Linked DNA regions of Drosophila melanogaster. The protein of the gene in region 1 interacts with the protein of each later gene in a pairwise test. Each region holds a gene or a part of one and is shown on either strand. Other genes may lie near its edges.

Region 1 (7,933 bases):
CTTTAAGCTGAAAGGCGGCAAGGCAGCGCTTCAGTGGCACCACGAAAACATGCTTGCCACAATTCTCCTTGCGCATGTGGCACTCGGACTTGTACAAGTTGTTGTCCGATCCGCAGACGAAACTTGGCGGCTGGGCATCACAATCCGATTCGCAGTCGGCGGTTAAAGCGCAATTCTTTAGCGAAACGGGCACCACACGCAGATCGCAAGTGCGCCGCTTGAACTCGCACATGGAGGCGAAGGTGTTGCCATCCGAGCCGCACACTGGCTGCTGTTCCAGATCCGCCCGAGTACAGGCATCCCCGCAATCCTTGGTGGGCGAATTGAGATCCGTGCAGGGACCAATGTGGGCCAGATTCACGCCGCGTCTGAAAAGAAGTTGAAGAGCTAGATCCATGTCCTATGGATGATCCTATCATGGATACTCACAGGCAGGTGGCGTGGGCCAGTTCGCACTCATTGTTATAAGTCTTGGCGTCCGTGCCGCAGAGCTTGTCATTTCGCTTCGAGCTGAAGATGGAACCGAACAAGCTATTGAAGTCCTTGCAAGGAGGCAGCTGTTTGCAGCGGGTCAGTCGATTCTTGCACTTGTCCATGCTCACTTTTTGAATGGACTTGCGCTGTGGACTGAAAGATAAAATTTTAGTCTGGTTATATTCCATTTTTATCTCATCCAAACTCACCCGCAATTGAGCATTTTGAGTTCACACAGCGAAGAGTATATGTTGCCATCACTGCCGCACACGTACTGCGACGAGGAATCCGTATCCGATTTGGGACACTCCGTGGGACAGGCATCGGAGGCTCCGTGCCTCTCCTGCGACATGCAGTAGGATAAGGGAACCTCAAAGACGTGCTTGCCGCAATTGGAAGAGCGCATCTTGCACGGACTGGCATACAGTCTGCCATCTGATCCGCAAGTGGGCCTCGCCACACGCCAGCAGGATTCCCTGCACATTCGTGTGGACTGACAGTGCTTCCGGCTGGTTTTCACCACACCCTGTCCACACGTCTTCAGCTTCATCTCGCACGTGGAGTTGTATACATTGCCATCCGATGAGCAAACTGGTCCATCCTTCGGCGCACTGTTGCAGTCAACCGGACAGGACTCACGCACGGCACTCGTGTTGCTGCAGGGACCCACATGCGATAGCTTCACTGCAGCCAATCCCACGCGACACGATTGCACCCTCAGCATGCAGCGATTCAGATAGGTCCTTCCGTCTGTACCACACACTGGATCCTTCTCCGTGCTGCAGCGGTGCTTGCAGTCCGAACCCTTCGACCTCTCGCAGCCATCCCGCACGTCCTTGATCAGCGACACTCCACTGCGGGAGCAAGTCTTCTTGCGCAGCTCGCAGATATTCGCATAGATCAGACCATCGCTGCCGCACACGGGCTCAGCTCCCACGGTGATGCTCGGTGGACAGGATCGAGGACAGTTGCCGGTGCCGGTGTTACTAGCCCTATTCCGTCTGCCCATCTGTGACAGCTGCTGTTGCTCCGTCTCCTCGCGCAGCAGCGACTCCAAGGCAGCTGCCGCCGCTCCGGGTGCCTGCATCAATGTGGACGACAGCTCCGGTCGCGCATCCTGACGATAGTTGATCAGCAATGAGTTGGGCGCCGCATCTGCACTGCGATAGCGGATAACTGGCGCCTGCGCCGGCAGCCGGATAATCTTGATGGGTGAGTCTGTCACAGCGCCTGTGGATGGAAATGATTTTAGAATTTAATTGGTTTCTATCTAGAAACTTAATTCTAAACATTTAAAGCAAGACAGTAGTTCCTCCTCCTCTGTTATATGAACTTATTAAACAAAGCTTAGTAATAATTACTACTTCCCCGCACGTAATGACCGGTTGTCCATCGAATTTTCCCAGGGTAACTCTGTTTCGAGACCGCCAAATGAAACTTTCCCTTCGCATTTTCCACAGCTCTTTAGCGGTGGCATGCGGAAGAGTCAACTGTGGGCATACAAATGTCAGATTAGCCGCACGATCATAGGGCATTTTGCGCAGTTGTGACCCACTGTGTCCATGCCGCCACCCGCCGACACTCCCCCGCATCCGAGACCAGTCTCTGATTCTGGAGTGATCGCATGACCGACTCAAGTAACCAGCCATTAACTTGAATAATTCTTTCCCTTTTTACTAACGGCAACGGCAAATGTTACCCGTCTTCAAATCTCGATTCCAAGTAAAACGACACAATGGCATTTATGTTTTGGCTGTGGTTTGAGCACAGCTAATACACTCGCTTCGTTCATACGGACTATCAGCGACCTCCATCTATAATTGTTCATGCTAATCCCCTCCAGAAATCGTAAGCTTAATCTGTGCTAAAAACTGCAAGTGAAATTTCCACACTAATTGCCTCCGGCGCCGAACATTTCTGTTGTCTTTGGTCGGATGTGGAACTGCTGGTTTAGTTTGGGTTGATTTGTCCATTTTTCTTATTTTTTTTTTTTTTTTTGTTTGCAAAGAAAGCTGTGAGAGCCGCCTCCGGAGGAAGCACTCAACTTAGTTAAAGATATACGAACGTAAATAGACATACCCAACAGCAGTAGAAAATCTATTAGCGCTCTTTGAGGCTGCCACACGATGGTTTGGCTGCGATAATTGAACCCACGTTCATTATTCCAATTTGCTGCTGCCGGCCATAAAGATGGAAATTTCAACATCCAGCCAGCCAGCCAGTCAGTCAGTCGAGCAGACGCATTCTCAGCTTAATGGACTCGGATGCTTCTCTGGCTGGATGCGAGTCCGAATCTGAATCGGAGGCATCGGCATCCAGAGGAGCCATTAAGCGCGGAGAAAATTAAGCGGCGTTAGGAATTAATGCACATGTAAACGATCCGCTGGAATGGTCAGAGGCAAAAGCCGAGACCACAGCCAATCTCATTCAGCATTGCAGCAATGCGACCTCAACCGCCCCACCCACTCTCACCAATCCTGCACTGGCAGAAAAGTGTGGTACTAGTCCTGGGATAAACTCAGAATCAAATCACTCATGCAAACTAATGGTACAAACTTATACAACACCATACACCATACTATTTTGCATTTTAAATACACCTCTGATTTACTGATTTCCTTTTGTTCATATGTTCTGCTGATTTCTCCCAGTGCAGGTGCATTTTCCTGGCCTCCAGCGAATTGCTGGCAGGCTCCTGCCTATCGGATGCCATCAATTGCAAAAAAAAAAGGCGAGAGAAATAATAAAAGCAGCCACCGTATAATTTTCAAAAGTGGAAAAATCCAGCAACCAACGCACTGCACTGCTGGGCAGGGACTTTTGCATGATATATACTGGGTATGTACATATATATATGTACATATGTACATACATATCTATATATGCACATGGAGCACACCATGTGCACTCGGTTTGCTCCGGTTTGGTGTGGCACAGTGGCGAGCAGCGACATGACCAAGCCCATAGATGAATGAATCACGGCGCCACTGATTGGGGCCATTAAAACATATATGTACATATGTACATATATATGTGTATATGCATGCGAGCATATATCACAGCATCCAAAACTAATTGATCTTTCACCCATCAATCTCCGATGAAGTGCGGTTATCAATTAGCCAAACGATCGCGCTTACAAGTCAAATAAATCATTTCGCTTCGGGTCAACTTTAAACGATGTAACCCCCCCAATTGACCCCCAACCCTTTCCAGCTCGCTGCCACTGTGCGGTCAGCTTGATTTTCCCCCCCCCCCATGAGCTAGCGATTCGCCCCTCTTCCACCAGCCCCCCCCCCCCCCTACGTTTTCAGGCCCCCGGCTTCTGTTTGGCCCCTTCGTGCTTTTAATGAATTTATACGAATGTTGGACAAATTGTGCACGAAAATATTTACGAGCATGTTGTGCGTCGAGGAGTGAGTGCCTCAAACTGGGGAGTTCGTGGTCTAGGGGGCGGTGGGGGGAGAGGTGTTGGGGCATTGGAAGCTTCGCGCTCGTGTATGTGTGCCAGTTTACATTCACTTTGTGCGGAGTAGTACCTTAGAAATGGATAGTTGAATAGCTGCTGCGACGGCCTTTCTACCACCGCACAGCTGTAGGTCTTAGATCCGGACCCCGATTCACCTTCTCCGTTTCAACACCCGGAGAAATTAGGCGGTAATTGAGACGGCACTCACTGGGACTTGTCCAGTCTGTCTGCAACTTTCATTTAGCTCAAGATCAGTTGCCGTTTTCCGCTGAAGAACTCGGGTTTCCCTAGAACTCTGTCCGCAGTTTTAACTGCAACTCAATAACGATGTGATAGTTAGGAGAAAGTACATTTAGCAAGAGGAAAACTAATACCCTTTGAAACTTGTATTAGGCCCTTTTAAATGTAATGTTAACTAATCTGGATTTAAATAGAGCATTCTTTACTTTAGCAATGGCTTAAGAGTTCCATAGTCAGTTTTCTCTTTTATGATTATATTGGACTTAATGCTCTGCTTAAGGAACCTAGTTTTATCTTAATCTGATTTTAATTTAGTTAGGAGGAACTTTGCTGAATCTGAATCAACGTATACTTCTTTAGCTGATTCATTTCTTGAGGCAATTAAACAATTTGAATAGTGAGAATGCCAGGAAAGAGATTCGAATGATCTAAGACTACTTCCTGTGACTTTCTACTCAACGTGTAGCACCAATTTTGGGATTTCTCGCAGTGTACGACTTACCACTGGTGGTTGACGCAAATGCCGCCAACGTGAACATGGCCAAGAGTGCGCCAAACAGCTGTCGCTGGCTCTTGGTGCCGCCAAAGCTGAGGCCCAGACTGGGGCTGTGGTTATGGCTGCATCTGGCGATCTGGCTTGGAGTCTGGCCAAGTCCGTGGGCCTGTGTTTGGGTGGCGTTTGGGGCGGGGGGCTGCAGATGCAGATGCAGATGCTGTTTGTGGTGCATTTTCGCTGGCTGTCTGCTGCACTTTTCCTATTAGACGCTTGATGATTTGTTGTTGCCGCTCGGATCGGATGCGTGCGTGATGTGAGACTGAGGCGTGCGGCGCTTTCGCTCGTTAACAATTGAAATTGAAATAGTAGCAAACTTTTATGCGGCTGCGGCTCACGGTGGATGAAAGTTTTTTTTTCTCTTCCTCGGTCGATCTACCAGGGAGATAGAGATATAGTGGTGCTATATAGTATATGGACTATATAACTGCTCGTAATGGCGCTTAAGCTGTTCGAATTAACGGTAATCTTGCGGTCATTTGGGCCTGGCCTGCTCTTCTTCTTCTTCTTCCTGCTCTTCTTGTTAACCGATGTCGTTGTGTTGCCTTCTCTCTCTCTCTCTTTAGCGCCCTTTTACGAGTTCATTCGTTTGCCTATCAACATCAAGCTCCCGTGTCTTACGCTGTCTTCTGTCTCTTTCGCTTTTCCCTTTGCCTGCCGGGCACTTGACCTTTTCACACAATCGCACAATGGAGCATAATTTCTTTTTTATCGCCTTGGCTTTATGGCTTTTTCTTGATGTTTTGTGGATTTTTGCACGGCCCGCCTTTAATTTGATTTCAATTACTGGTTCTGGTAAGGCTTTATTTTCCTTTTATTTGCTTTTTATAACGTTTTTCTTTTTTTTTTCGTTTCTATTATGCGCACAAAACAATTCGCTTTTGTCCGTTACTCTTTTGTCGTTTGAATTTGACTTTGATGCGCGCTCTTCGAGTTTCGATTCGCATATGAAAAATGATCTGTCTTTCGGATTTCGATGCTGCTGCTACTGTTCTGCCTCGGCCGATGCCTCCGCTGACGCCTACTGCGACGCCGACTGCGACTGCAACTGCGGCGATTGCATTTCGTATTTCATTTCTTCTTTTTTATTGTTCTCGAATGAATGAATGAATGAATGGGCACTAACACACTCGCGCTCGCATCCGATTTGTACAATTCGTATTGTCGTCTTTGCCTCTGTTTCTTTTTTCGCCTTTTTAACTTTTTTCTTAGGCCTTTGTTTAGTGCGCTCTAGAGTCGCTCTGAAATCTCGGAAAGCTTGGGCTCCAAATGCGACTGGAAGGTTTGACAATGCGCCGACGAATGGCAAAAAATTTGCAATGAAAAGAAATTTATATGGGTGAAAGGCAGCGCAGTCGGCGACGGCAGAGCAGAGCATCCAGCGCTGTTGTTGTTGCAGCTACACTCGAAACAATTCACTCATCTTTTGAATACTAAATCAAGAGTATTTCCAGTTAGGACAAAAAGCACCGCTTTCTTTAAGTTTTTAAAGTTGAAAAACAATGAAAAAATAAAAATATATATGAATAATAATAAAAAAGTTATAATGTACAATAACAGCAATGGTGGATTGTAAAAGGATACAATTCAAAGATATGCATGTCTGTGCAGTTTCAAACTTTCAAAATGTAACATATATTGAGAGCAGTAAAGAGAGCAAGTAAATTTAAGTTAAAAATGTAGTCTAGTCTTGATCTTTTTGAATAGACCTATATTTCTTTTTAAACTTTAACGGTTTACTACCACAAGTTTTTCGAGTGCATTGTTGGGTGCCGGGGCATATTGATTAAATGGAGTTGTTGGTATTTAAAATAACAACTTGGTCATGTCTGCCTGGCCTAATCGGTTTTGCGTACAAATTTAATTTGCCAAAAGTGGCAGCAAAATGCAGCCAAAAAGGCGCGCCGCATTTGAAATTATAACTCACACACTCGATTCGATTCGATACGATACGATTCGATCGGATCAGATGCATCCACATCCACGTCCGTGCTCCCCCAACATCTCCGATGCCCAAACCCAAGCCATACCATCCCACATCCAATATACAATATTCACGATCCGAGTCCACGATTCAGTTGCAGTGGCATTGGCATTGGCAGTTGCAGTTGCAGTAGAAAGTGCAGCCTGGAAGCTGTGTTTATAGACTTGTAGACTTTAAAGCCATAAATTTTACGCCTCAGCGGCCGTTGCGAATAAGGGTCACACACACATAGCCTACTATCACCTTGCACAGTGTCCTGATGCCAATTTAAGGTGCATGTTTACTAATGCATTCACACAAAAATATTTGATTTTGGCATAGTTTAGCTATTAGAGCTTAGACCTTATCTAATTGTCTTAGGTATTATATATTTGATATAATAATATTTTAGTTAAGTAATTCTAGCTTATGTTAAAAGGAATACAAAGTAATGCTACCCAAATAAATAACTTGCTAGTAACATAAAAAATGAAGTTATATTTTAAACTATAAATAGTAAGTAAATAAATGTTCTTAAGCAAAACATAATCCTTAATCTTTCATGGTTCGGGACATATGAGCTTTAAGTTAATATTCAATCTTTTTAAGAATTTTAATGTTGCTTTTTTTTCTTACGAGTACTTTCCCTTAAAACTTTGTGCAATAAATCATCATTTTTGGGAAATGCGTTGTGGGTGCTTAAATTCCACATGTTTTGGAACCACTGTGCGCTGGCGGTGGGTGGAGGAAGGTGAAGAAGCAGATCATTGGCGGCGGAGTCGCGTGCATTAAAGAAAATTGAGTGGAGGTGGAGGTGGAAGTGGCCGTCGCATGGGAAAAGAGGTCAGTAAGTGAATGTTTACAGTTAGCTTTTTGGGCAGATCAGAGAGAGCCAGGTCCAAAACAAAACCAAACAAAACAAAACAAAACATAATGCCGAGCCGATCTCAGCTCGACGGAAAAAGCCAAACTGCATATGACAGGCGTGACTCGGCTTTAAGCGCCAGTGCCCAGAACTAATACCCCAAACACGACGAGCTGCAGATCCCATAGAAATGAGGGGGACAAACCGCAGGAAAAGACCGCCAAAAAAAAAAAAAATAAATAAGAAACTGAAAACAGAAGAGCAAAATTTAATTAAAAGAAAGCCAGGCTGGCGCGGAGACGTAAAAACCTTTTGGCAGCCGTGCAGTTTCTTTTTTGGCCAAATATTTGACGGCGCTCGCCTGCGGTT
Region 2 (5,701 bases), on another chromosome or scaffold:
ACCGAAAAGAAATTCTTAAACGGGCGAAAGGTAAACAAATCCAATTGGACAATTCCAAGGGTGATCTCTAGTGATGGCAGCTCCTAGCGGCCTATCGACGCCTTTCGATAGTGTGGGCGCTGTTATCGATAGCGATTTGCAAAAGTTTTTTATTTAAATAATGCATTTAAAGTTGATATTTAATATGAAAATTGGAAATGACATTTTTCTTTTACGTATAAGTAAAAGTTTATAATTTCACTTTAACGCATAACGTAATATTAAAATTCGAATTTGAAAATATGTATGTTTGAATTAACTATTTAATACAAAAATGTGTTGGATTTATGGTTTTAAGACCACAATTTACTATTATTTTGTTACTGCGTACTGCCACATGTATTTAATGGCTTTAGATTAATATATTTGTTGCTAAATTACTTCATTCTTGCTAATTAATATTCACAAGTTACTCTTGATATTCAAGGAGTAATATATGTATATACCACACTGCCGCCCATTGATAGTGTAACTAATTTAGTTCGAATTATACTGTGGAATGTAGCGCCCTAGGCGCCGTTGTTTATTGGATTTATTTTATTTGTTATATACCCAAGCCATTATACTAGATTAAACTACATACACACACATGCATGTGGGACGTGTGTCTTTTCGTGTCTGTGGTGTTAGTGTTTGTATGTATGTATATACTGTGTATACTGGTTAAGTGTTGCGTCCTGGTAGCCTTATTCCTTGCTCCTCCTCCGTTCCATCCTTATCCGTATTATCATTATCATCATCATCATCATCATCATCATTAGCATTACCATTAATATTAATATTAATATAATCCTCAAAATATTTGTTCCTGCGAGCGGGGAAGCAGCATTGATTTAACTAAATCTAGGTGAACTCCGAATAAATAGTATAAACGCAAAGCTAAAACGAGAAAACGAATTTCCGCGAAATTCAACCGAGACCGGCTCTAAACATTGACGGCATTCTGCAGAGCTGTCTTGTCATCTACGATAATATTGGCCGCCGTAGTGGTCGGATTGGAGCTGAGCAGCTGCTTGGTGGACGAACTGGAGGAGTAGCTATCACTGGAGCTGCGCGTCGAGGCCGAGTTGCCGCTGATTGGGCTGTCCAACATGTCTGGATGGCAGTAAGATATATGTTTTAATCATGTGACAATTGGAAACCGAATCAGAAACACCAACCTGGCAGGGAGCTTACGTTGTTGGACTTCAAGTCCACAACCGTTGTCACCGATCCGGAGCCCACCATGTTGCCCACCGATGTGGACTTTTTGTGCAGGTTCTTCTTAACTGCACTACTGAAACCCACAACGACGGGTCCCACTCCAGCTTGTCCGCCCACTGATCCTGCGCTCCTGCCCACGCTGAGACCGCCATTGCCCAGACTGCCGGCGCCAAGGGGATCACCGCTTTTGGCTCGCTCCGTGGGGCACAGTGGGCTTAATATCGAATTCTGAGTATCCTCCGGCGTGTAGTAATCCGAATCCTCGGCCGTGGCCTCGGCGGGTGAGGGTGCACCGCTTCCGCTAAGTTCTGGTCTCGGTTTGGTGCGCTTTATCGACGAACCCTTCTTTAGGCTGGACTCCTCGGTCGGCCCATCACCAGTGCTGCTCTTATTATCGACATCATCATCCGCTTCCAGGCAGGCCACCACCTGCTTCAGCGATTTGCTAGAAACGTTCTTGCTCTTGCTGCCGGGTGATAGCAGAGGCGATAGCTTCTCGTTCTCACTGTCCACATCGTCATCGGTACCCGCGGAGCCATCGCCACCGGAACCGGCTGTGGATCTGGGATACTTTCGTTCGTTAACAATCTGCAGCTTGTCCTGTTTCGGTTCCGGCGAAGTGGATGCCCCCAATGTTGGCGAAGTACAGGTGGCCGTGCTGGACTTCTTCGGATCGCTTTCAATCTCCACAGAGTGTGTGGATGACCCATTGCCGCCGCCCGATTGATTGGTAATGGTGCCCACCTCACTGGTCGACGTGCACGTCGAAGCGTTTTTCTTGATCTTCGGTCGACGCTGGCTGCTGGACTTGATCGGCGATGTGGCCTTGATGTCAGCACTGGTCATTGTCGAAGCGGCCACGGTGGCAGCTGAGTCCGTGACATCGTGTTCGCTGTTCCTGAATTTTGGAAAAAAAGGCATCAGCTACGTAAGATTTATCGGTTAATTCCATTCCATAACTCACCTAGCCCTGGCCACATACTGTGGCGGTCCGTTGAGTGCCTCAATTAGTGAGACTGGAATATAGCCTGGCGGAACATCCACTGGCGCCGGCTCCCCGGCCGCCGATGTGGGCGTGTTCTGGTGCAGTACATGCGTGCTAATTCCCTTCTGGACAGCACGGATCTGAAGCAACGCCCGAAACGGAGCGCGACAAATGGGACAATTGTTGGCCTGATAGCGCAGCGAATCCGCGCATGAATTGCACAAACAGAGATGGCGGCAGGGCAGGATGAGCGTATCCCTCGTCTCACTCATGCAAATAACACACTCGCTGCCATGATCGTCGATCTCCTCGTCCAGAGACGTTTTGTTCACGGCCTTGTTCTCGATGCCATAGATCTCCTGTAGCAGGTAGCACAAGCCATCCACAAAGATCTTTTGCTTCAATGCACGCAGCACATAGCTGCCGTTTTCCGGATGATGATCGATCACACAGATGGTGGTGTGCGATTGCCGACACTCGTCGCTGCCCTCCTCCACCACACAGTGAATGGCCACGGGATACTGTTCACGGCCGGGACTATAGCCCAGTTCATCCTCGGGCATCTGCTGCGGATTGAAGACATGGCTCGGCTGCGAGAAGCACTGATTGATGCCCTTCTCGTAGTGGTACGTCTCCGAGGTGAGACCCTCGCGCGGCACCAGTGTCACGCCGCTGGGACTGACATCCTCCGAGCAGAAATAGTAAATGGTAATGGCGCACTTGGCGTCCGAGTCAAAGGTAAACTCGATGTTGTAAGAGCAGGGCGGCGGTGGGGGCGTCATATCGGCATCACCGCCACCCAAACCCATCGAGCAGAGCACATTTCCATCCACATCCTCGATGGTCACGTTGGACTTCTCCTTGTCCAGATCCAAGTCCCGATCAATCTCCTTCATCTTGGGCTTCTCGAGTACACCGCCCAGCTTCTTGTCGTTCATCGTCTTGACGAAACGCACCGACTCCTTGCGAATGTTGACCAGACTCTTCAGGGTCTTCGTCGGTTCATTGGCCTGCGGCGGGGGATACGGAAAGGCTGTGGGTCGATTGCCCAGGAAATTGAGATCCGCATTCTCGCCAAACAAGTACGATTCCGGTTGGGGCGTGTCGAAGCGCTCGCCGCCCATGATGAAGTGGGTGCCAAAGAAGTTACCCATTCTCGGTGGATACTTGTAGGCATTGTTCGTGCTCGGATCGGCCTCCTCCACCGCCGCGTTCTGTCTGCTCACAAAGTTGCCCATTTGATAGGTTGGTGCTATGGAAAACTGTGACACAGATCCAATATAGCTCTTGGCCTACGTTTTCTCTTCGCTTTGGTTTAGTTTATTATTCTATTTCAGTTGGTCACCACCACACATACAATGGCATGTTGGCATTTCACTTGTTCGGCGGAAAATGGCCGCTGTGTGTGTGTGAGTGTGCGAAAGCTGTGGTCGCCTTCAAGTGTTGGATCCTGTGTCCACAAAACTAGCAATAGTACAAGTTGGTCAATGTCTTGATTATTTCTGATTTGCCTTTCCTTTCTTCTTTCTTCCTTTCTTTTAGGGCTGAGCTGCCGTCGACGACGTGGATATCGATATTTCGCTTAATGAAATATATCGATAGCTTAAACCAAAACTGATAAATAACTGCTTATTTTCGAAATATTTTATTTATTTGATAAAAAGTAAATAAAAAATCCTTACATCTTAGAGATAAATAATTAAAATTACCCATACACATTATTTTTTAATTCGCCGTCGGCGTTGCCACATAGCTCAACTCGTAGTTGCCAACTAATCACAAGCCAGCGTTGCCAACGGTTTGAAGGCAATAACAAACGGCGCCAAAATAGCGTACGCGAAAAAAAGTGCAGTGCGAAAATCACGGCAATTTTGCAGCGCATCACGGAGCAGAGAACACACTCGCAACCGCCATCATGAGCATAAGCATGAGCATGGACGAGACCATCTGCGCGTACTTCGTGAACAATCTGAAGCCGGGCGACGGTGGCGTCCAGGAGGCCGACACACTGCAGCAATTCGAGGCGGCGCGGGAGCTACTGGGCCAACAGTTGGCGGAAACGCAGATCCGGCAAATAAAGCCAAGCGAAGGATATCCCCTGATCGCAGCCGGTAACCTTACCAAGAAGGACGTCTTTGTGCTGACCCAGTTCGAGGGCGAATTCTTCGAGCAATTGCAGCAGACGCGAGCACTAATTCTGGGGCCACCGTGCCTCATCACCTGCCTGCGGCGCAATGAACCCATTCCCGAGGGCAGCAGTGCCATCTACAGCACGGCCATGCGGGATCTGCAGGTCTCGGCCACGGGCATAACACCACAGAAGAAAGAGGAATTGAGCAGGCTCATAAACTGGATGGGCGGCATATACTTTCAAAGCTTCGGGCATCGCACCACCCACCTCATTTCGAACACCATCAAGTCCAGCAAGTACGAGCAGGCAACGCTGAACGGAGTACCCGTAATGCACGTCGACTGGGTGCAGTACGTCTGGGATCAGAGTCGTCGCAGCCAGCGCGAGGGCATCATGGCCACGGATCCTGATTTCGATAAGTATCGCCTGCCCATTTTCTTTGGTGCGAATATCACGTGCAGTGGATTGGATGTGGCGCGCAAGGATCAAGTTATGCGGCTGGTCAACGATAATGGAGGCATCTATCATCGTGCCTTTCGCTCCCAGGTGGTGGACATCGTCATCACCGAGCAAACAAAAACGGACACCGAGAAGTATAAGGCAGCCATACGCTACAAGAAGGATGTCTTGCTGCCGGAATGGATCTTCGATAGCTGCAATCGCGGCTACGCTCTGCCCACAAAGGACTATGAGGTGCGGCCTGGCAAGACGTCGTCCACACCCACCAAGACCACTCGTCCGGGCGCAGCTCCCGGTGCAGATCAAACGCACCTCTCGGATCTCTCACGTATCAGCTTCGTCTCCGGCTCGCGTCGCATGTGCAGCGATCTTAGTACCGTCAACGAATCCGTCAGCAGTGTGGGCAGCAGTTCGCCCGCCAAGCAGCTGCTCAAGCAGGCGACTAGCAGTGGCCGCAACTACCAGCAGGTGCTGGCCGAGATTGAACCGCGTCAGGCGAAAAAAGCGGGCGCCTTTCTGGATGGCTGCTGTGTGTATTTGAGTGGCTTCCGCTCAGAGGAGCGTGAGAAGCTAAACAGAGTGCTGAATACGGGCGGAGCGACCCGCTACGATGAGGCCAATGAGGGCATCTCACACATCATTGTGGGCCAACTGGATGACGCCGAATACCGACAGTGGCAGCGCGATGGTCTCATGGGTTCAGTTCATGTGGTGCGCCTAGATTGGCTGCTGGAGAGCATTCGAGCTGGTCGCGTGGTCAGTGAGTTGGTGCATCGTGTGTCGATGCCACAGAATCGAGAACCAGACGTTGCCTCTCCTGCCAGCAAGCGAACACTGCGCTCCATGAACCACAGCTTCAAGCAGCCAACATTGCCCATCAAGAA

The links. The genes of interacting proteins can lie anywhere in the genome.
Region 2: the proteins of CG32354 (region 1) and Mrgn1 interact in a two-hybrid assay, tested with the Drosophila melanogaster proteins (one large-scale study listed by BioGRID).

Annotation. Positions count from the first base shown.
Region 1 is NT_037436.4:8,416,156-8,424,088, forward strand, and holds the start of CG32354 (uncharacterized protein), read right to left. Parts: upstream 6,051-7,933; 5' UTR 4,912-6,050; coding exon 4,686-4,911; intron 1,705-4,685; coding exon 684-1,704; intron 628-683; coding exon 430-627; intron 369-429; coding exon 1-368.
Region 2 is NC_004354.4:13,718,212-13,723,912, forward strand, and holds Mrgn1 (mahogunin ring finger 1), read right to left. Parts: upstream 3,767-5,701; 5' UTR 3,466-3,766; coding exon 2,207-3,465; intron 2,141-2,206; coding exon 1,200-2,140; intron 1,135-1,199; coding exon 965-1,134; 3' UTR 523-964; downstream 1-522. Other genes in the region: mus101 (mutagen-sensitive 101), read left to right, coding at 4,143-5,701.